Linked DNA regions of Tamandua tetradactyla. The protein of the gene in region 1 purifies or fractionates together with the protein of each later gene. This does not show direct contact. Links are inferred from orthologs where the notes say so. Each region holds a gene or a part of one and is shown on either strand. Other genes may lie near its edges. The genes, in order: ASXL2 and OGT.

Region 1 (10,636 bases):
CCTGACTTCCGGACCTAATGAACTGCCCCTTCTGGACGTCACCTGACCTCCATCCTTAAAAGCTGCCCGCACCGAAGCCCCCACACTCACCTCCCTCCATCTTGGGTTTGGTGAGCTCTGCCCGGGAGTGCAAAAATACCCCCCCCCCCCCCCACTTTAAATTTCCTGGTCTACCTTTCTTCTTTCTCACCCTTTCGCCTCCTAAACCTTTCAGGGAACTTGTACATACTTTTATGGTTGCATGCATGACAATGTATGGTATTTAATTTGTTTATAAGTTTCTTGCTTTATTTGAGCTGCTTGGGAGTAGGGAATGTGTCTTGTTCATTCACTCATTTATCTATTCATTCATTCCTTAAAAATACCGATTGCAAGGTGCTTTTCTGAGCACTGCGAATATAATAATGAACGTGATAGGCGCAGGCCCTGCCCCCACTGCTTTGCCATCTTTCACTCCTTTCTGGTTTTGGTTCAGTATTTGGCTCGTGATTGAAAGATACTAAATCTGTTTAATTGAATTGGATTTATTTAATTGACTATTTTTAATTAAATTGGATTTCAAGGTCATAGTGCTAGTGTATGGCAGACATTGTCCTTAAAGGAACTGATTCTTGAGAAGTTCCTCAGTTTTCATATTCTCATATAAATTGTCTGGTATATAGCAGACATTCAACAGTCAGTTCCTTTCTTTCCTTTCCTTCTAGGTTCCTCCTGGGCTGGTCACCAAGTAATCTAAATTTTGTTGAATAGGTGAGAAATGGTAATGGCTAGGTATTCATAAGTTCTGTAGGAGAGAAGAAGGGTTGACAAGGTTGCCCTCTTTTCTGACCACGTATAATGTATATGATACTGGGGTGCACGGGTGGTTCAGTGCCAGAATGCTCACCTTCCAAGTGAGAGACCTGGGTTTGATGCCCAGATCACACACACCCCTGAAAAAAAATGAAATGATTAATATATATGATACTACAGCTGCCATTTATTGATGGCTTCCAATGTATGAGTCACTATTCCAAGTACTACTGCATGTATCACCTCATTCACACCTCATAGTAACCCTAGTAGATGAAACTGAGGCTTAAAGAGGTTGAGCAACTTGCCCAAGTTCCTATGAGTAGAAAGTACTTAGGTGGGGGGAATTGTAGCCTTCCCAGTCTGATGCTAGCACCTCTTCCTCTGTGCAGGTGCCTCTCTTGACCTGTATACATTCAGAATCTGTGATTTTGAATGGGATCCCACAGCCTGGCTCCTGGTCATGACCTAGCCCATATCTGAACTACATATTTGTTTTACTCAAAACGAGTTGCTGACTCTTCTAAGGTAGAAAGGGTTCTTTGCAGTTAATTTACCATCAAGTGGCTGATTGGTCCTGTTGAGGATGGTGTCCAATCAGGGGTTCAGCTTTTGACTTTCTTGCTGGTGGGCTGGACATCCAGTAGTAACAATAAGTAGATCAGCCTTGGTGAGTGGGGGGCCAGGCTGTTGTACACATTCACAGCCTCCATTCCTGCCATGATGGCTACCATGTTCATGGATGAATTGGGCAAGCCCTGGAGTGGCCATTGATAAAGGTTGACTGATGTCAACTGACAGAATCATTGTGTCCACTTATTTTCTTAGTGCTTCATCCCTAATGGATACTTTCTAGTGAGCATTAACATTTGATATAAAGCCCTAGCTGCAAGAGAGATTGGAGTTTTCAATTTCTAAAGTAGATGGGAAATTTCCAAATAGAGGAAGGGGGCTCAGATACTAGTAGCTAAAAAGAATGTCTATCCTCCCCTCTTTTTTTTTTTCTTTTCCATCAAATGGGATCATAGTATGCATATGATTCTAAACCTTGTCTTTTTTATATTAATATTTATTAGCTGCCTTTCTACTAATGAGTAATAAAGTGTGTACTAGGATGTTCATCTCAGCATTGTTTATAATAGAAAAATTGGGAAAACATGGAGATTAGTTAAAATTGTTGTCCATTATTCACACAGGAATATATAGCTATTTTTAATGCAGTTTTATTGAGACATTCACATAACGTATAATCCTTCTAAAGTATACACAGTATCATCACATAGTTGTGCATGCATCACCACAATCAATTTTAGAACATTTTCATTACTCAACAATCAAACAAACAAACAAACAAACAAGAAACATCCCATGTCCCTCGTCCCCCCCATATTACTGACCCCCAGCATGGGTGTGGTACATTTGTTATTGTTGATGAAAGAATATTAAAATATTACTGTTAAATATAGGTCATAGTTTACAATAAGTGCATTTCCCCACATGCTTCTCCTTTATTAACTCCTTATAAAAATGATGTACATTTGTTCTCAGTCATGAAAGAACATTTTTATATGTGTGCTGTTAATTACAGTCATCAACCACCACAGGGTTCACTGGGTAATAGAGTCCCATGTTTTAACCTCTAGCTTTCCTTCTAGTGGCATACACTTCCCCATTCCACCACAATCCCATGCACATAATTCAGCGCTGTTTATTACGTTTACCATAATGTGCTTATTATGTGTTTATTACTCTCACCATAATGTACTACCATCACCTGTGTCCATTTCCAAACATTTACATTCAACCTAGTTAGAAATGCTGCACACATTAAGCATCTACTCCCTTTCTTTAGCCTCATTCTATCTCCTGGTGACCTATATCCTAGATTTAATCTCTATGAATTAATATATTATGATATTTTATATAGCTATTTAAAATTATACTATATGTTGGAATCTGAGGTGTCAACCAGTCCAATCTGCCCAAATTTAGAAAAAAAAACAACTGAGAGATATCTACAGGAGGCAAGCAGGTGGAAATGAAGATGTCACCTTCATAACGAAAAAACCATTGAAGATAAAATGGGTGGTGAGGGTCAAACGTGCTTGCTAGAACTTAAGATAACCCATCTGAGTGAAAGTCTGAGTCTCCAAAGGAGACATCTTTAATAAGGTTCAGTAACTCACACTGTCCCAGGGTGAAGGAGAAAAAGCAAAGGAAGTGAATTCTTTGTGCTGATGGCCTTTTAATAGATTTGCTTTGACAATGAAGAAACTAGACCTATGATTGCCACTCCCAATCATTGCTTTTCAGGTTAGGGCATGTGTAAGGGGTAGAGCAAGAAGCCAGGACAACTCCTCTAAAACATGGAAATATGAGGTGTGTTGTATTAACATCTCCCCTGACATTACAGGTTCATATTTCTCAAAATGGAAATAGAGTCTGTAATATATTTTAAGTATAAAAATATGATTACATAGCATGCATAATATACTTTTCTTTTTATAGAAAGATGTATGTGTATTTAAATATATATATAATTGTGTCATCCTATACATGCTATTTTATTGTAAGCAAAATATGAAAATGATCTGGGTGATGTCTAGGTAGTGGAATTAAAATTTTCTTTTTTATAATTTGTAACAGACCCTATTCTGCCTTGCCCAGACCCCCTTCTGTTGCACGTATCCTTCAGCTGCTGTAAGTACTGGTAACTAGGTGTTCGCAGCTGCAACCTTCTCCAGAGAGTTGCCCTTGGTCACCAAGAGGCATCCTTCCTGGAAATGTTTGGGTTGCAATGAACCCTGTCCCTCGAGAAGAGAGCCTCCATTTAAGACTGTTTGCTAAGAGGAGACAAAAGCTCAGTCTTTTACTTCAAAGTTGAGTAATTCTGTGGGACCATTTAGGCTCAAGAGCTCCTGGTGATATCAGGCTGGGGCTGGACATCTTTGCTTAGCTTCTTTCCTTGTCTCTCATGCTTCCTTCACATCCTTACATATTTCTCCTGAGAGCATGCTGATAAATTACTTGCACAAGGAGTTGAGATTCAGTACCTGCTTCTGTACAACCAACATATATCTGTGGGATTTTTACAATGAGAAATCTTATAAACAGGGAACTCACTATTTTTATTATTATTATTTTTAAGTGCCTTTCTTGCTTTTTGTGTGTGTGTGTGCTTGGGCAGGCTGTGGGACTCGTACCCGGGTCTCTGGCAGGCGAGAATTTTACCACTGAGCTACCATCACACCGCCTCAGGGGTCACATTTCATTGTTTTTCCCTGTGAGTATCCTGTTACTGCTGCACTATTTGTTGAAGTTTTGCTTTTTTTTTGTTTGTTTTTGGGAAGTGCATGGACTGGGAATCTAACCTGGGTTTCCTGCATGGCAGGCGAGAATTCTACCACTGAACTACCCTCACACTCTCTGACTTCGTTCCTTTTTATGGCTGAATAATACTCCATTGTACAGATATACCACATTTTTGAACCTGCTGGTGGACACTTGGGTTGCTTCCATCTTTTGGGTATCGTAAATAATGCTACCATGAACACTGGTATACAAATATTTGTTCAAGTCCCTGTTTTCAACTCTTTGGGGTATATATTTAGAAGAGGAATTGTTAGGTCATATGGCAACTCTATGTTCAACCTTCTGAAGAATTGCCAAACTGTTTTCCATAGCGGCTGCACCATTTTACACTTAGGTGGAATTTTAAGAAGATAAATCTGGCATCCTTTGAAGGAGGGGCTTGAGTATAGATAAAACATTTAGGAAATTACAGAACTGGAGTGGAAATGATAGAAGAGATGCAACAGGCATAAAATCTGCATGAACAGTCATGGGACTAAAACACTCTTTAGGCAATTATAATTTAATTAAAAAATAAATAATTAAAAAACCCATTCATACTTGTGGAAGATAAAAAAGTAGGTAACGCAATATTGCAATCCTTATCTCCTTTTGAAATTAAAATCTGGGAATAAAACTCCAAAATGCAAAGTAAAGACAGTGGGAGTATCTGGCTGTAGGGACTAAATACAAGTGGGGTAGAGCTGCCATGCCCAGGCAGTAGGGGTGTAAGGTAAGCCCTAGCCAATAACTGGGAGATGGAGAAGGGCTGCTTGAACTGACTTTAGGTCCAGGCTTTGTAGTGGGATGGTAATCACTGTGAGTGTTATGGGTAGTACTGAATTACTAAAGGAATTTATGAAACTATAGCCATATCAATTGCTGAAATGGGGCCGTCTGATCAATGACTAAAGGGGAAATATAAAGAAGATAGCATCTCCAACTCCCACTTAAAATTTTTTTTTCTGTGTAACAAGGCCCCTTTTGAAAAGAAAAAGAAAACCTATGAATCTTCTTCTCAAAAAATGCACATATTAATTTACACACAAAATACCGCCTACGATTTTAGGCGGTTCACCAACTCCTAAAACCCATCCATGAACTCTAAGTTACATATTTTTCTAACCTGCCACTCCTCCAAAGAGGCAGTACTGTGTCCTCAGTTCTATTTCAGTATATAGATTAATTTACTAGACTGTTCCGGGCAGCCTCTGGAACTAGGTGGGTTTGGCAGATCAGTAATTGTCACAGTTTTACTTTGCAAAGTATAAAGACGTGGAAATGGCATGGGAAATGCCACATTCTGGATCTTTCAGAAGGCTGCTACGGACACTACAAATAATGGTTTCTGACGGCAAAATTGAATCACTCGGCAAATATTTGCAGAGCACCTGATATTACAGGCAGTATGCTAGGGACTGGGTTCACATTAGGTAAATGTGACACTGTTTCTATCCTGGATGAGACAATGTACATGTGAAAGCGTGAATGTAATTACTGCCAGTTTTTTTTTTTTTTTTTTAAAGCAGTCTTATTTGGTGGATATGGTTTAAAGAACAAATAGAAAAAAAAGCAATTGACCACATAATACGTCTATTTCCGGAGTCTGTTATGTTTCTTTTTTTTAAAAAAACAACAACATTCTAGAGAGTCAGAAAGGACTTGCAATTTGTTTTTTGGCCTCACATTGTGGACAGGCGCGTATGCCAAGTCACTGGATCTCTCGGTTGCCTCATCAGTCAAACGTAGCTAACACGTAGATGAAAATTGTCGGAAATCTTCAAAATCATTATCTTTATAAAAATGCACTGTAAAATGTGACTAAAAAACAAAAGTACAGGGCTTACTGAAAGTGACAGGCTACCCTAACGGGATGTCTCCAAACTCTTCCACGTCCCCACAACCTGGCACGCGGTAGGGATCTTCCCAATGAGCCTCCACCAACCGATCAAGTTCCGCTTCCGCAGGCCGATTTCGTGATAGGCGTGAGCGTCAGACGCCCGACGCACAGGAGCGTCGGACTCCCTTTTACGCGCATGCTCCTGAAGAGAGGCGGAGACCTGAACGGTTGGGGAGTGGCCAGGCGCCGCGGCCGGCCGGCTCTCCTGCTCCCTCTGCATCCTCCAGCGGGAGGCGGGGGCGCGCGCGGGCTCGTTCGCGCGGCTGGCTGCGTACAGTAGGGACGGCCGCGCGGGAGCGGTCACATGACCGCAGCGGCTGCCTGTACAGTAAGGGCCCAACATGGCAGCGACGGTAGCAGTGGCAACGGCAGCAGGAGGACCGGTCGCCCCATAACCCACCCCGCGCGCCACCCGCGCCGCCTCTGCTTGGGTGCTTCTCCGGCCTGACTTCCCCTTTTTCCCACCTTTCCCGGCATCGCGGGAAAAGCAGCGCAGGGCAGAGAAGGCAGGGAGGGCGGCCGGAGCCCGGACACGGGAGCCACCCAGTCAGTTCAGGACCCGACATGAGGGAAAAGGGCCGTAGGAAGAAGGGCAGGACCTGGGCGGAGGCCGCCAAGACGGTAAGGGGGAGGGAGCGAAAGGGAAGGCCGGGAGGATTTCGTTTCCTTGCCACCCGCTAGTCGCACGGGAAGGGAGGTCACTGTCGCAGCGACCCGGCTGAAGGGGTACAAAACCTCGCGGAGAGGGCGACGGTTAGTGTTGAGGTTGTGATCCCTGTGAAATGGAGGCGCAGCGTAAGGGGGTCGCCGCGGGCTTGTGGTTTGCTCCCAGCGTCAGCGGCATGTCCTTTAGGTGTTCTGAGGCAGTCTGTCGGGGTCAAGTTGTTATCGCCCCGACTCTGGTCGCCCCTGCCCGGCATGGGGAAGTCTGTTGTGCTTACATAGTAACCCGTTTTTCTCCCTTGTGCGGCTCAAAGAGTCCCCATTGGATGCAGATAGGAGAACGCTTGTGCGTGCATTCAGCCCCGGAAAGAGGAGGGGAACGCTTGGAGCCTGATAGAATTTACCGGCTAAAGCAGACTTGCTGCCTAACCTCGGGTCCCCGGTTTATCTGGGCTCTGAGATCCGGCGTGCCATCACGAGGTTTTGTTTTTGTTGCCGTTTGAGCTGAAAGTGCAGGAGGTGTTTAGAAACGAAGTAACAGGTGGGACTTGTAGAATTTTTTTTTTTTCTGTTTCCGTAGAGACCTACTCTGAACAAGGCAGCAATGCATGGTGGGACGTGTAGTTTACTCGGCCTTCACTTTTCCGTAGTGATGGTGGGCCAATGAAGTTGTATTAATTAGTGGGTAAAACTTTGCAAATTTTGTCATCGAATTTTAGAGGTAGGTTTTCAAACATGGAATATTAAGGATTAGTGAGAACTTTTACATCTAAGAAAAAAGTAAAAAGCTTGTATATGTGTAGGAATGAGAATGAAGTTCACTCCGTTCTTGAGTGTGCAACAGAAAAATAATAGAACAGTAAACAGCATTTCAGTGTTGGGAAGTGAGAAGGTGCGGGAGCATTATTTTCTTTCGGGGGATCATTATTTTTAATTATGAATTATACCAGTAATACCTGGACAACTTGCAGAGTCCTTCTTAATGAGACTTTTTTGTACGTTGTGTGGTTTGTTTTTTGAATGAGTTTTTTTTTTTTTTAATATAAAAGCAGTATGTATTCAATTTGGAAAGTTATGGAAAAATATAAAGAAGAAAATAAAATCACTTTTTTCAGCCGTCAGCTACATCTGCTAGCGTTTTGGTTTATTATCTTCTAGTTTTAAAAATGTATTTCCCCAAATCTAGGTTTAAAAATGTATTTCCCCAAATTTGTGCATTGTCTTGTAAACTTTGTGCATTAGGGGGTTGATGAGTCTTAAACTTGTGTTTTTGTTTTAGTTGGCAATATGAAAAAGTTAGTGAAAAAATAATAGTCCTTTTTAAATTAATTGTTTTCACTTACAATATCTCTTCATAATTGTGACTCTTTTGGTAGTTTCTCTCTAAAAGATAAAACTATAGAAATAATTTTTGATGTGGCAGGGAGCTTGCTTCTCCACAAAAGACTATTTTACCTGTACTTGAGGGAGACCTCAAGAATCTTCTTTTTTTTTTTTAATTGATATATATTTTTTATTAATTAAAAAAATTAACTAACACAACATTTAGAAATCATTCCATTCTGCATATGCAATCAGTAATTCTTAATATCATCACATAGATGTATGATCATCATTTCTTAGTACATTTTCATCGATTTAGAAAAAGAAATAGCAAGACAACAGAAAAAGAAATAAAATGATAATAGAGAGAGAAAAATAAAAATAAAAAATACAAAAAATATATATAAAAAACAAAACAAACAAAAAAAACTATAGCTCAGATGCAGCTTCATTCAGTGTTTTAACATAATTACATTACAATTAGGTAGTATTGTGCTGTCCATTTTTGAGTTTTTGTATCCAGTCCTGTTGCACAGTCTGTATCCCTTCAGCTCCAATTACCCATTATCTTACCCTATTTCTAACTCCTTATGGTCTCTGTTACCAATGACATATTCCAAGTTTATTCTCTAATGTCGGTTCACATCATTGGGACCATACAGTATTTGTCCTTTAGTTTTTGGCTAATCTCACTCAGCATAATGTTCTCTAGGTCCATCCATGTTATTACATGCTTCGTAAGTTTATTCTGTCTTAAAGCTGCATAATATTCCATCGTATGTATATATCTACTTCTTAGATATCTATGTATCTACTTCTTATTTTATACTGTTCTTGGTACCTGCATTGTACGCTAACCTGTTTTAAGGGCATATTAAAACAGGGTGGTGTTTCTGACCAGTAATATAGCAACAAATAATTGAATTTGTTTAAATAAGATAGATACTGTGTATATGTGAGTATGTTTCGTATGTGAGAGAGATACATGGGTTTATGTAAAGAATCTTCTTCATGCTATTAAAAGAAGCATGTCAAATTTTAATTATAGGTAAGCAGACTCCACCCTAATTATGCTATTTATGTTGTCTCTAGACTTCTAGAGTATTTTTTTGATTAATCTAATGATTGTAAAATTGTGACAAATAGTAAAAACTAGTCTGCATGTGTTAAAATTTTCCTACAGTTAGCTCATTTGCACATTTGTAATTGACATTTCATGCCCTAGTTAGCCATGTGAAAAATATTAGTTAAAAGGTAGAAAGGCTAGTTTGATCAGTGAAGTTCTGAAAGAATTTATTGTGGCTTGGCATTTTTATTTGATTCTGGCAAATATAAAAGATCTCAATATAAATAAAAGTGAAGTTTAGAAAGAAGATGATGATGCTAAAACTTGTCTTTTTCCCCCCCTTTCTAGAGAATACCCTCTTTTTTGGGTTGTTTGATCATGTGTAAAATGAGATTAACTTAACCTCAGGGTTTAGAAGAATTCTGTTTGTAGGAGGAATAGATAAAAGTAAGTGTAGACAGAAGCATATCTTTAATATTTCAGACTGCAGAATGAGATCAGAAAATTGACAAACGAAAGTAACTTTGACCTAAATTAAGAAGTGATGCAGATATTTAGAAGATCAAGAGGACTAGGAGAGTGGGTTAAATTTATTTCAAGGGCATTAAAGGCAAGTGTTCTAGGAACAGTTTCAGCAAGGAAATAATAAAATTATTTACAAATATAGGCAGTATCTACTTCTTATTTTATACTATTCTTGGTACCTGCATTGTACGCTAACCTGTTTTAAGGGCATATTAAAACAGGGTGATGTTTCTGACCAGTAATATAGCAACAAATAATTGAATTTGTTTAAATAAGATAGATACTGTGTATATGTGAGTATGTTTCGTATGTGAGAGAGATACATGGGTTTATGTAAAGTTTATAAGCAATTTTAAAAATTAAAATAATGACTTGTAATTATTTATGAATTCTATAGTATGTGTTAATTATGCCAAAAGACTGAAAAAACGTACTTAAATGTAGACTACAGATTAGTTTCAGTAACTAAGAAAACCAAAAAAAGAAATAATGAAGCTGATATTCAACTGGGCTTGAATGCTCATTGACTATTGGACTGTAGCTTTATTGATCGTAAATTTAACTTGTTTAAATACTCTAGTAATAAAAAGCATTATTCAGGTATTTAGTTAATAGTTTCATGTGTGTTAAAATTTAAGGGCAGCAGTGGTGGTGGTGGTGGTGATGATGAAATGATTAGGATGAGAAAGGTGTAGTGTAGTGTTTAGTTTTTTATTCTGAAAAATTTGTGTAAGCCGGAGATATAGAGAACCATTACATTGACTCTAGAACCATGTTCAAAGTTGGCCTAATTCTTTAATAAAAAAAAAAGACATTGTATTATCTAAATATTTGATGACATCTCTGAGGATTTTAGCAGTGTTTGCAAAGCAGAAACTTTGAAATAGCACGATCTTGATTCTGTTTTCCTTTTTCACTTTTCCCTCCTCACTTATCAACAGTTATGGAAGACTTTGTGTGTGTTTATGTTTATGTGTATATGTGAGTGTGTGTAGGTAGAAAGGCAGACTTTGGAA
Region 2 (9,871 bases), on another chromosome or scaffold:
CACTTAATACTCTACTGTATTGTTCTCTAGTGGCTTTTTCTATCTACTTAACTAAGCTTCAAATTCCTTGAGGGTGAGAACTTGGTCTCGTTCTTTTTTGAATCCCCCACAAGTGCTTTGTACATAGAGGCTCTAGTGTTATTTGAGTGAGGGTGGGCTTGATTAGTATGTTTTTCAAACTAACCCCCCCAGAAGTTATTCCTGGAAAGTACCTAGAATTGGGTTCCTGAGACTCTGACAAGGGGTTTTCTTTTTGTTTTTGCTTCTTACTTTCAATTTTGAAATACATTTAAACTTATAGGACAGTTGCAAAAATACTACATACCCCATTCAGGTAATATATCCGTACTGCTCCCCCCCCATACCCAGATCCACCAATTTTAACTTTTTTGCCACATTTGCCATATTATGCTATCTATCTATTTATTTATGATAGATAGATTTTTTTATGAACACTTGAATGTAAGTTGTATACATCATGTTCATTGAACACTTTACTTCCATGTATATTCCTTAAGAACAAGGATACTCATTTATGTCACCACCTTACATACATGTATCAAGTTTAAGCAATTTAACACTGATAAAAAGCTTATACTCTTTATTCCAATTTTTTCATGTGTCCCAATAATGTCCCATTGACATTTTTTCTCCTCCCTTGTTAGATCCCATTCAGGATAATGTATTGCATTTAATTGTCATTGTCACTTTAGTTGCTCTTTCTTTTTTCCTTTTTTTTTGTGGGATCATCTATACAACATAAACTTTCCCATCTCAGCAACTACCACACATACATTCATTGAGATTAATCATAATCACAATATTGCAGTACCCTTACCACCTTTCGTTACTAGAATTTCCCATCTCCCCAAACAGAAATCCTACACCCATTATACATCAACTCTCCATTCTCCCTACCCTTCACCTCACCTTGGCAATCTGTATGCTAATTTCTGTTTCTATGAGTTTACATATTCTCCAATATTTTCTTTGTAGTTACCATGGGGCTTAAATTTAACATCCTAAATCTATATCAATCTTGTTTGCTTTGATACTGACAACTTCAATAGTACATGCAAACTATGTTCCTATACTCTTCTGTACCTCCACTTTTATGTAGTTCTTGTCACAAGCTACATTTTTATATGTTATGAGTCCAAAACCACTGATTAATCATTACCTTTTATGCATCTGCCTTTCAGATCCTGTAGGAAGTAAAAAGCGAAGTTACAAACCAAAAATAAAATAGTACTAGAATTTATATTTACTCATGTTATTACCCTCACTGGAGATCTTTATTTCTTCCTGTGGCTTCAATCTATGGTCCATTATCTTTTCCTTTCAACCTATAGAACTCTTTTAGCATCTTTTGTAGGGCCTGTCTGGTGGTGATGAATTCCCTCAGCTTCTGTTTGTCTGGGAATGAGTTAATCCCTCCTGTTCTAGTTTGCTAGCTGCCAGAATGCAATATACCAGAAACAGAATGGCTTCTAAAAAGAGGAATTTTATAAGTTGTTAGTTTACTGTTCTAAGGCCGAGGTAATGTCCCAATTAAAGCAAGTCTACAGAAATGTCCAATCAAAGACATCCAGAGAAAGACACCTTGGTTCAAGAAGGCCGATGAAGCTCATGGAGAACACAGTCACAGTTTCTCTCTCGGCTGGAAGGGCACATGGTGAGCAAGGCATTATCTGCTAGCTTTCTCTCTGGGCTTCCTGTGTCATGAAGCTCCCTGGGAGGCATTTTCCTTCTTCATCTCCAAAGGCCGCTGGCTTGTGGGCTCTCTGCTTCTCGTGGCTATGTCATTCTGCTCTGCTCTCTCTGACTCTCTTATTCTCCAAAATGCTTCCTCTTTTATAGGACTCCAGTAAACCAATCAAGACCCACTCAAATGGGTGGAGACACATCTCCCCTAATCCAGTTTAACAACCACTCTTGATTAGTTTACATCTCCAGGGAGATGATATAATTACAAACAGTATTGAACAGGGATTTTTCTGCATCTACGAAATGGGATTTTGATTAAAACATGGCTTTTCTAGGGTACATACATCCTTTCAAACCAGCACATCTCTCTTATTTCTGAAAGACAGCTTTGCCAGATACAAAATTCTTGGTTGGCAATATTTTTTGCTTTCAGCACTTTAAACATGTCACCCCACTGCCTTCTTGCCTCCATGGTTTCCAATGAGAAATTTGCACTTAATCTTATTGAGGCTCCCTTGTACCATGACTTGTTGCTTCTCTTTTGTGGCTTTCAAAATACTCTTTTTATCGTTGGCATTCAACAGTTTGATTATAGTATGTCTCAGCAGGGGTTTATCATGTTTAGAATTTGTTGAGCTTTTTGGATGTGTATATTTATGTCTTTTGTTAAATTTGAAGTTTGCAGCTATTACTTCCTGAAATATTCTCATTGTCCCTTTCTCTTTTCTCCCTCTGGGATTTCCACAATGCATAGTTAGTATGCCTGATGGTGCCCCACAGGTTCCTCAGGCTCTGTTTGTTTTTCTTCATTCTTTCTTCCTTCTGCTCCTCAGACTGGATGATTTCCATTGTCTTATCATTAAATTCCCTGATTATTTCTTCTGCCAGCTCCAATCTGTTGAACCCTTCTAGAAATTTTTAAACTTCTGTTATTATGGTCTTCTGCTCTGGATTGATGCGTTTTCATAATTTCCATCTCTATATTGATATTTTTTGTGTTCCCCTATTGCTTTCCTGATTTCCTTTAGTTCCTTGTTCATGTTTGCCTTTAGGTCTTTGAGAATATTTGGGACCATTTTTAAAAAGTTTTTGTCTGGTGTGTCCCAGGTCTGGTCCTCCTCACTGATGGTATCTAATGCTTTAATCTTCTTTACCTGGGCCATTGCTTGCTGTTTCTTTTATGTTTTGTAATCTTTTCTGAAACTTGGACATTTGATATTTTAATGTGTTATCTCTGAAATTTAAACTCTAGGCATCTGCTCCTTCAAATTTTATCCAACTAGTGTTATGACTGAGTTTTCCTTGAATGGCAGGACCTAACAAAAAAAAAAAAGCAGGGGGAGGGGGAAGAAGGAAAAAAAGAAAACACCTTTCCCAGACTTTGCAGATTGACCTGTGCAAGTGCCTTCCTTTGGGGTTTATCTATACAATGGGATGTATGGGAATAGCTGAAGGCTAAAGCATAGGGGCCTTACAGACTCTTTCTGCACCTGTGTCTTGTCTGGGGCATGCACGTATGGCCCTAGGAATTCCCTTGTTTACTGGGTTAGGAATGTCCCCTCTCCCCTATGAAACAGTTTCCTCAGGGTCCGGGACTACATTGTCTGTCCTACAGCCCGTGATCCCTTGCCTCAGGCAGCAGGATTTGACTGTTTTCCCACAGCAATCTGTGGGAGAGCTCTGTGAGCTGCCTTCTACACACAGCGCAAGTTCTGGAGCACTGAGACGCTCAGACCACCACCAGATAGACTGAAACAAAACAGACATGCTCCCAGCATGTGCACCGGGGCGGGCCGCCCTCTCTCTCAAGAACTGGGACTCGGATTCACACTGAGCGAATGGCCCACCAACTCCGCTGCTTAGCCAGTGAGGGGTAGGGGGAGGTTCCAGCCAGGGAAAGAGGATATCCAACCGCTTTTTAAGTGGCCCTTTTCTTGATTCCATGCTTACCCTGTTACTGCATGTTACTACAATCCTTTAACTGATTTCTGGAGCCCTAAGAAAGATGTTTTCATCAGGGGATTTTCTCTAGTGAGCCACTGTGAGCCCCACCTTCCAGTTTTGCATGGTAGCAAAACGTATCATAACATCTTCGGACTCTTCTCTCAGGATAGGGAACTTTAAACCACAAGTATGGATGGGCCAAATGATTGGGAGCATGACCTGGCATTTAACAACAATAAGAGTTTGGCTTAATTGGCTAGCACCCACTAATCAGTAAGGCCTAAACATCTGCCAGTGGAATTTGAGAAGTCTGGTTTAAAAGTTGAAAAGCTGAGTTTATTCACCACATATGGGGCACTGGTAGTGGGAGGGGAAGCACCATCAACAAAAGCCCAATTTCTAGGAGAGTTTGTGCAGTGAACTTTGTCTTTTTTACTGCGTGATGTTACTCTTGATTACGGGATGGAAGAAATTACCAACATTATGATACTTACAGGGCTGAGAATTATTCTCTGTGCTCATATCCATAATTAACAGTTTGTGGACTGTCTGGAAGAAATTGAAGCGTTGCTCAAGGACTTTCTTTCTTTTTTAACGTAGTAGAAACTTTTTGAAGAAATTCACTGACCTGTTTTCTTAGATCAAGGACTAAACAAAATGGCACAGAGACTCAACTTGTTACCTCCAGTGGCTTATAATAGTTTCTTGCTGATAGGAAAAGCTACCTTAAATCCTTTCTAGAACAAACTATGAGGTATAAATGAATACTAATGTTACAAAATATCTAATCAGTGGACTTGAGACTCAGGAGGATTTGTAAGAGCTCATTTGCTTATGGAAGTGGAGGTAATTCAGACTCAAATTACATGTGTGGTGCAGATAAATGGCAAGTGAATTCATTTATCATTTCTGAATTGCATCAAGCGCAATGCAATCACAGATTGTGAGGATTTGCAGACCTATTTTGTGGAAATGAAGTCACAACTCAGAAGAGAGTCAGATTTTGAACGGTAGGAATCATATTTAAGTAGGAATCATATTTAACATTTTATGGCTGCCTTTGGGGTGCGAACTGTAAGGTTGTCCCTGAGTTAATTATCTACCCTATTGCTGTAGGCAGAACTATTCTGAATATCAAAACTATTTGGAAATTTCGGGCTATATAGCCAAAATCTGAGATGTTTGGGTTCATTTGGCCATGCGAATGTATCAGTCTTTTTTCATCAAAACGTTTGAATCAATTGCTGGAGTCAGAATTATGACGTGTTCAAATTGGAAAAGCTTCCCCCAACGTTTTGACGAACAGTTCAATCTTCAAAAATTCAATCACAATTTTATTTGTTTGGAATCGATGCACGACTAGTAATTCTCAGCCTTGTAAGTATTCATTTTCGTATGAATAAAGCTGATGTAAACTTTTTAAGCCTCCTTTGACATTTCTATTAAAATCTACATTATTGGCTAGGTAACAGGTTACACTTGGCACTTTTCACTTTGGCAAAAATGGATGCGCTTTTTAAACCTTCTGCTTCACTATTTAAAAACAAAACGAAACCAAACCAAACGAAACGAACAAAACAAAACTTGGACGCTCCTGCCCTAGACGGTGCCCTAGCCAGCCCGAGTCAGGTTGACAGGGTTGCTCGCATGCGCTGTCGACGCAATCGTGTTTGTCGCAATGGGCCCTGCGCGGAAGGTTACACAATAGCAAGCGACTTTGATTATAGTCATTTTGTCTGTAGCGCTGGTTACCGCGCTACCTCCGCACTGGTACTTGATTGTAACAGAAAGTAGTTCCGGCCCGTGTTGTTTCGGCCGAGGAGCAGTAGCCGCCATTTCAAGACTGTGAGAGGTAGATAGCTAACTATAGTTCCTAAGGTTCGAAGTCTGTAACTGCTGCCGCTGTTTAAGCCTTCCAAAGTACTGGTACTGTTGTTGCCCTCTTACCACTACCTCCAGAAACATTCTTGCTAGTAGCGGCGGCAGCGGGACCCACTTACCCCTCCTCGCCCTCCCCCAAGAAGCTCCAGATGGCGTCTTCCGTGGGCAACGTGGCCGACAGCACAGGTACCAGTGTCCCGTTCTACCTTGGCAGACGCCCCTTCGGGGTCTCGTGCTGTTTCCCCCCTCTCCTCCTTCCCTCCCTTCTAGCCACCCTCGTTGCATCAGTGGTATTGCGTTAGCTTGTCGTGGTCTACCGGCATCTGATGGGTTTTTCCTCCGTCTTCTCCTCCTTAAGCATTTCTTCCTCCTTCCTTTCTCGCTTGTTTTCTGCTTCCTTGTTCCCCTTTTCAATCCCATAAATGTTCTAGCCTTCTACACTCTCGGGACACTTCTCCCACCAGTGCGCTGTAAGGATGTCTCGGAACGGACTGCGTTGGAATCCCTGCCCTTTCACTGTCCTTCCCAACCATTTTCTGCCCTCATTCCAGCTCACCGCTCGCTGCTCTTCCCTCTCCACGGCCCTTTCCAACCCTTTCAAGCCCTTAACCCGATTTGGGTTGTCAGTCTACGGCAGGGGTGCCATTCCGATGTAAACGCATCCCCATTTTGCAGCACCCAAGGACGAGCGAAAGCTCGCCGATGTGCTTACAAGGAACCTCGAGAAAACGGGACCTTGAGTAAGCAGCACCCCGCTGAGGCAGCTGCGCCTTTCTAGTCTGCTTTCGGTCGAGTGGGGGCCCGGTCTGGATTGGAAATTTCCAGGCGTTCTCTGCAATCGCCCAAATCCGCACGCTGCCCCCCCACCCCCACAGCCTGCCTTGCCATCCAGTGCCCCCTCCGCTCCCCTCCCGCAGGGAACCACACCCTTCCCTTCGCGACGTTGCCAGCCCTGCGGTCCAGTTTCTATCCTTGGGGCAGAAACCACCCCGGTGCTATTGCTTTGGTGTTGACCGCACTGCGTTCGGGAATCTCGCTTTGTTGTGACTTTCTCCTTGTATTCCTCCGCCGCCGCCTTCTGGGTCTTCCATCCCCATTCTTTAGCCTCGCATCTCCTTATTCACAGGGTGGATCTCTCTCTCTCTTTTTTTTAATATATATTTTAAGTTTTCATCCCTGCTTGAAGAGTTTGTAAAGCCACTGGAGTGTAGCTGCACAAGTGCCAGGCGGTTGCCCGTTTAGATAATCGAGTCGAGAGCATTTTGTGTTCAAAATTTACAAAACATCCAAATTGTAGGAGTTTCGCTTCGGCTGCCTTTCCCCATAGGGGCTATTTGGGGAGGAGGAAGGAGGAGAGGATTGGGCCGCGGTCCTGATATTTCCCACGAGGTTATTTTTTGATATTTCTCGGTTGATATGTGTAGAGGGTTTTTATTATTTTTGGACATTGGACGGTAAATGATAAATGGATCTTCAATTCCCTGTTATCCATAATTATAGGTAGTGAGATTAATAAATAGTCACTGTTCTACCCCTCCTCCCCACAGTGATTTTTAAAGATAAAAGATTCTGCACTTGCTTGCCTTTTTTTGTGTGTTTTATTTGAGGTAGTCGTCATTTCAAGTGTTAAAGTTAGCAGAGGAGCCACTTGGAAAAGTGATAAAGTAATGCATTAAATTAAGGAGCTAGGAAGGTCTAGAGACTTCTCTAAAATGTAATTTTCTGTGCTCTTGAAGAGAAAGTCTCCCCATTTCGATACAGGTCTCTCTGCTTTTACGTATACATGGTCAGCGGTACATTCTGTCAGGAAATTTACTTTGCTTTCCTTAGTATCCAGAACACACTTTAATGATCGAGAAGTGAGACTCCAATTTGAGTTTGTCTCTGTGTCCTTGGTGGAGTTTAGGTAATTTCCTTAGTTTCCCAATCCAACAATCTATGCATGTTTGTGGGAGTGCTATGGTCAAATTTCCGATAATATATCATCACTGTTTAAATAAGTATTTACAATGAAGACTTAGGCCTTGTTTGTTTTTCTCTCTCTAGGCCTTAACTATATTCTTATCTTTGTACCTAAATTAAGTCACCTGCATACAGCAAAGGCTTTTATTTATTGTTTATTCTGTTGAGCTTTAACAAATGTTATATATTTTAGTATTTTCCCATTTTTTTAAAATTATTATAGTTGTAGGTAACTGCCTGGTTTATATAGAATTGTTTACAATACCTTGATTCTTTAGTCAGTGCCACAGCACTTTGGAAAATGCTAGTGTTAAACCAGTGTGGGTGGGATTTCGCTAACTTAGTATCTTTGTGAGTTTGGGTTGGTAGAGGAGTAATGTAACTCTGGGTCTTTATTTAAAATGTTTATGACCCCTTTAAAATATTTTAGCTCTTGACAGATGGATTTATCTTGTTTATCAGCTATTTTAAAAATAGCACCTGACTTTGAGTTTTTTCCTTTTGCTTCTTTCTAGTGTTGCCCTTGCTTAAAAATATATATATTATGAACTAAACAAACACATCAATATAAAGAGTAAAAACAAAATAAATATCTGAGTCCCCACCTAGGTTAGATGGTTACCAGTTATCCACTCCTTTACGCCTACCAAATCCAACCTAAAACATGATGGAAAGTATTGTTTCTCAGATGGTTGTTCTGACATTACTAAATCTTTATCACCTTTCAAAATCACGTTTTATACTTTGTTTCTATATGTTAACTAAGGTATAAGGAATAATGTTTAGTTACTCTTTAAATGTTACCTACATTTAACATTTATAATGTTATAAATGAGTTTATAATTTAAGAGTACAAAAAATATTTTTGTACTCTTGTTCAAAAAATGTAATATAGTTTGAAAGTAAATATTCCTATCTAGTTTGGGAAAGAAAGTATTAATGGATGAATTCTGAAAATGCCAATTCTGCACCTGTTAACTTGGGGGTACAAATAACATGCAGAACACTCTAGTGCTTTACATAGTTTCAAGCATTTTTCATCTTTAAGTTTAATATACCATATTTTTACATTTTTTTGTTTGCATTTCTAACTTTTTGTTTCCCCCCTCCCTCCCTCAAATGTTTTGATGATTCTCCAGAACCAACGAAACGTATGCTTTCCTTCCAAGGGTTAGCTGAGTTGGCACATCGAGAATATCAGGCAGGAGATTTTGAGGCAGCTGAAAGACACTGCATGCAGCTCTGGAGACAAGAGCCTGACAATACTGGTGTGCTTTTATTACTTTCATCTATACACTTCCAGTGTCGAAGGCTGGACAGGTAGGAGATGTTGGGATACCTGCTGGTGATTGCTGCCTCTGGGTGCTGAGCTTGAGAAATGATACTTAAATATTTGAACTTGAAGTTTTTCCAGTATTGGGTTTCAAGTGAGCCACCAACACACATCTGCTCTTTTGCCTACTTGTGACGTGTGGCAGTCCAGCTGCCAGTTTTTCTGCCTCTTTTTGTGGTGGTGGTTATATTATCTGTATGAATAGGTACCTTTTCTAAACTTTACCACCTGAGTCTACAGCTTTCTTAACTGTATTCAGGTAATAAATTATTCTTAGTGTAAAATATGTTAGCCAAGGGATTAAAATGCTCAGAAGTGATGGTGTATATACTGTGGTAGGAGATACATTGTGCCTCAAGTTGCAAACAGTGCCATTACTGCTTTACAAGATGTTACTTTTAGCTCATCAGTTGAATTAATCAAAAGGAAGCATTTTGTGACCTTGTCTTTTCTAATAAATTGTCTCTCTGGTTCACTTAGACATTTAAAGACATAGCAAGAATTTTATCTCATAAGAAAAAAAGAGCTTTCTGAGTTGAAATCTGAAATCCCTCTACTTTTGAACAACTTTTGTTTCCAAAAATTTTCTTACTGTGCACTAGTGAAAAGATTGTTCCATGACTAGCAATTGCAAGGGATCTTCAGAAACTGTTTGAGTTGCATGTGGGCCGTACCTTCTTCCTGTAACATGAATACCCATGCATCAACACTTTTCGCCTTTTCCAGATCTGCCCACTTTAGCACATTGGCAATTAAACAGAATCCCCTTCTGGCAGAAGCCTATTCAAATTTGGGGAACGTGTACAAGGAAAGAGGGCAGTTGCAGGAAGCAATTGAGCATTATCGACATGCATTGCGTCTCAAACCAGATTTCATCGATGGTTATATTAACCTGGCAGCTGCATTGGTAGCGGCAGGCGACATGGAAGGGGCAGTACAAGCTTATGTCTCTGCTCTTCAGTACAATCCTGTGAGTAAAATTTTAATGGTTATCATTCTCCCTTTAGGGAATCCCAGAAAGAAACATTGTTTGTTAGGCCAGTT

What was found.
Region 2: the proteins of ASXL2 (region 1) and OGT purify together in Homo sapiens (affinity purification with mass spectrometry; 3 studies listed by BioGRID and IntAct, with this or other methods). This does not show direct contact. The link is inferred for Tamandua tetradactyla from reciprocal best matches to the Homo sapiens genes ASXL2 and OGT.

The regions. Positions count from the first base shown.
Region 1 is NC_135329.1:9,591,868-9,602,503, reverse strand, and holds the start of ASXL2 (putative Polycomb group protein ASXL2), read left to right. Parts: upstream 1-6,323; 5' UTR 6,324-6,607; coding exon 6,608-6,664; intron 6,665-10,636.
Region 2 is NC_135353.1:99,920,521-99,930,391, reverse strand, and holds the start of OGT (UDP-N-acetylglucosamine--peptide N-acetylglucosaminyltransferase 110 kDa subunit), read left to right. Parts: upstream 1-5,456; 5' UTR 5,457-5,681; coding exon 5,682-5,718; intron 5,719-8,633; coding exon 8,634-8,814; intron 8,815-9,553; coding exon 9,554-9,797; intron 9,798-9,871. UniProt on the Homo sapiens protein: Catalyzes the transfer of a single N-acetylglucosamine from UDP-GlcNAc to a serine or threonine residue in cytoplasmic and nuclear proteins resulting in their modification with a beta-linked N-acetylglucosamine (O-GlcNAc).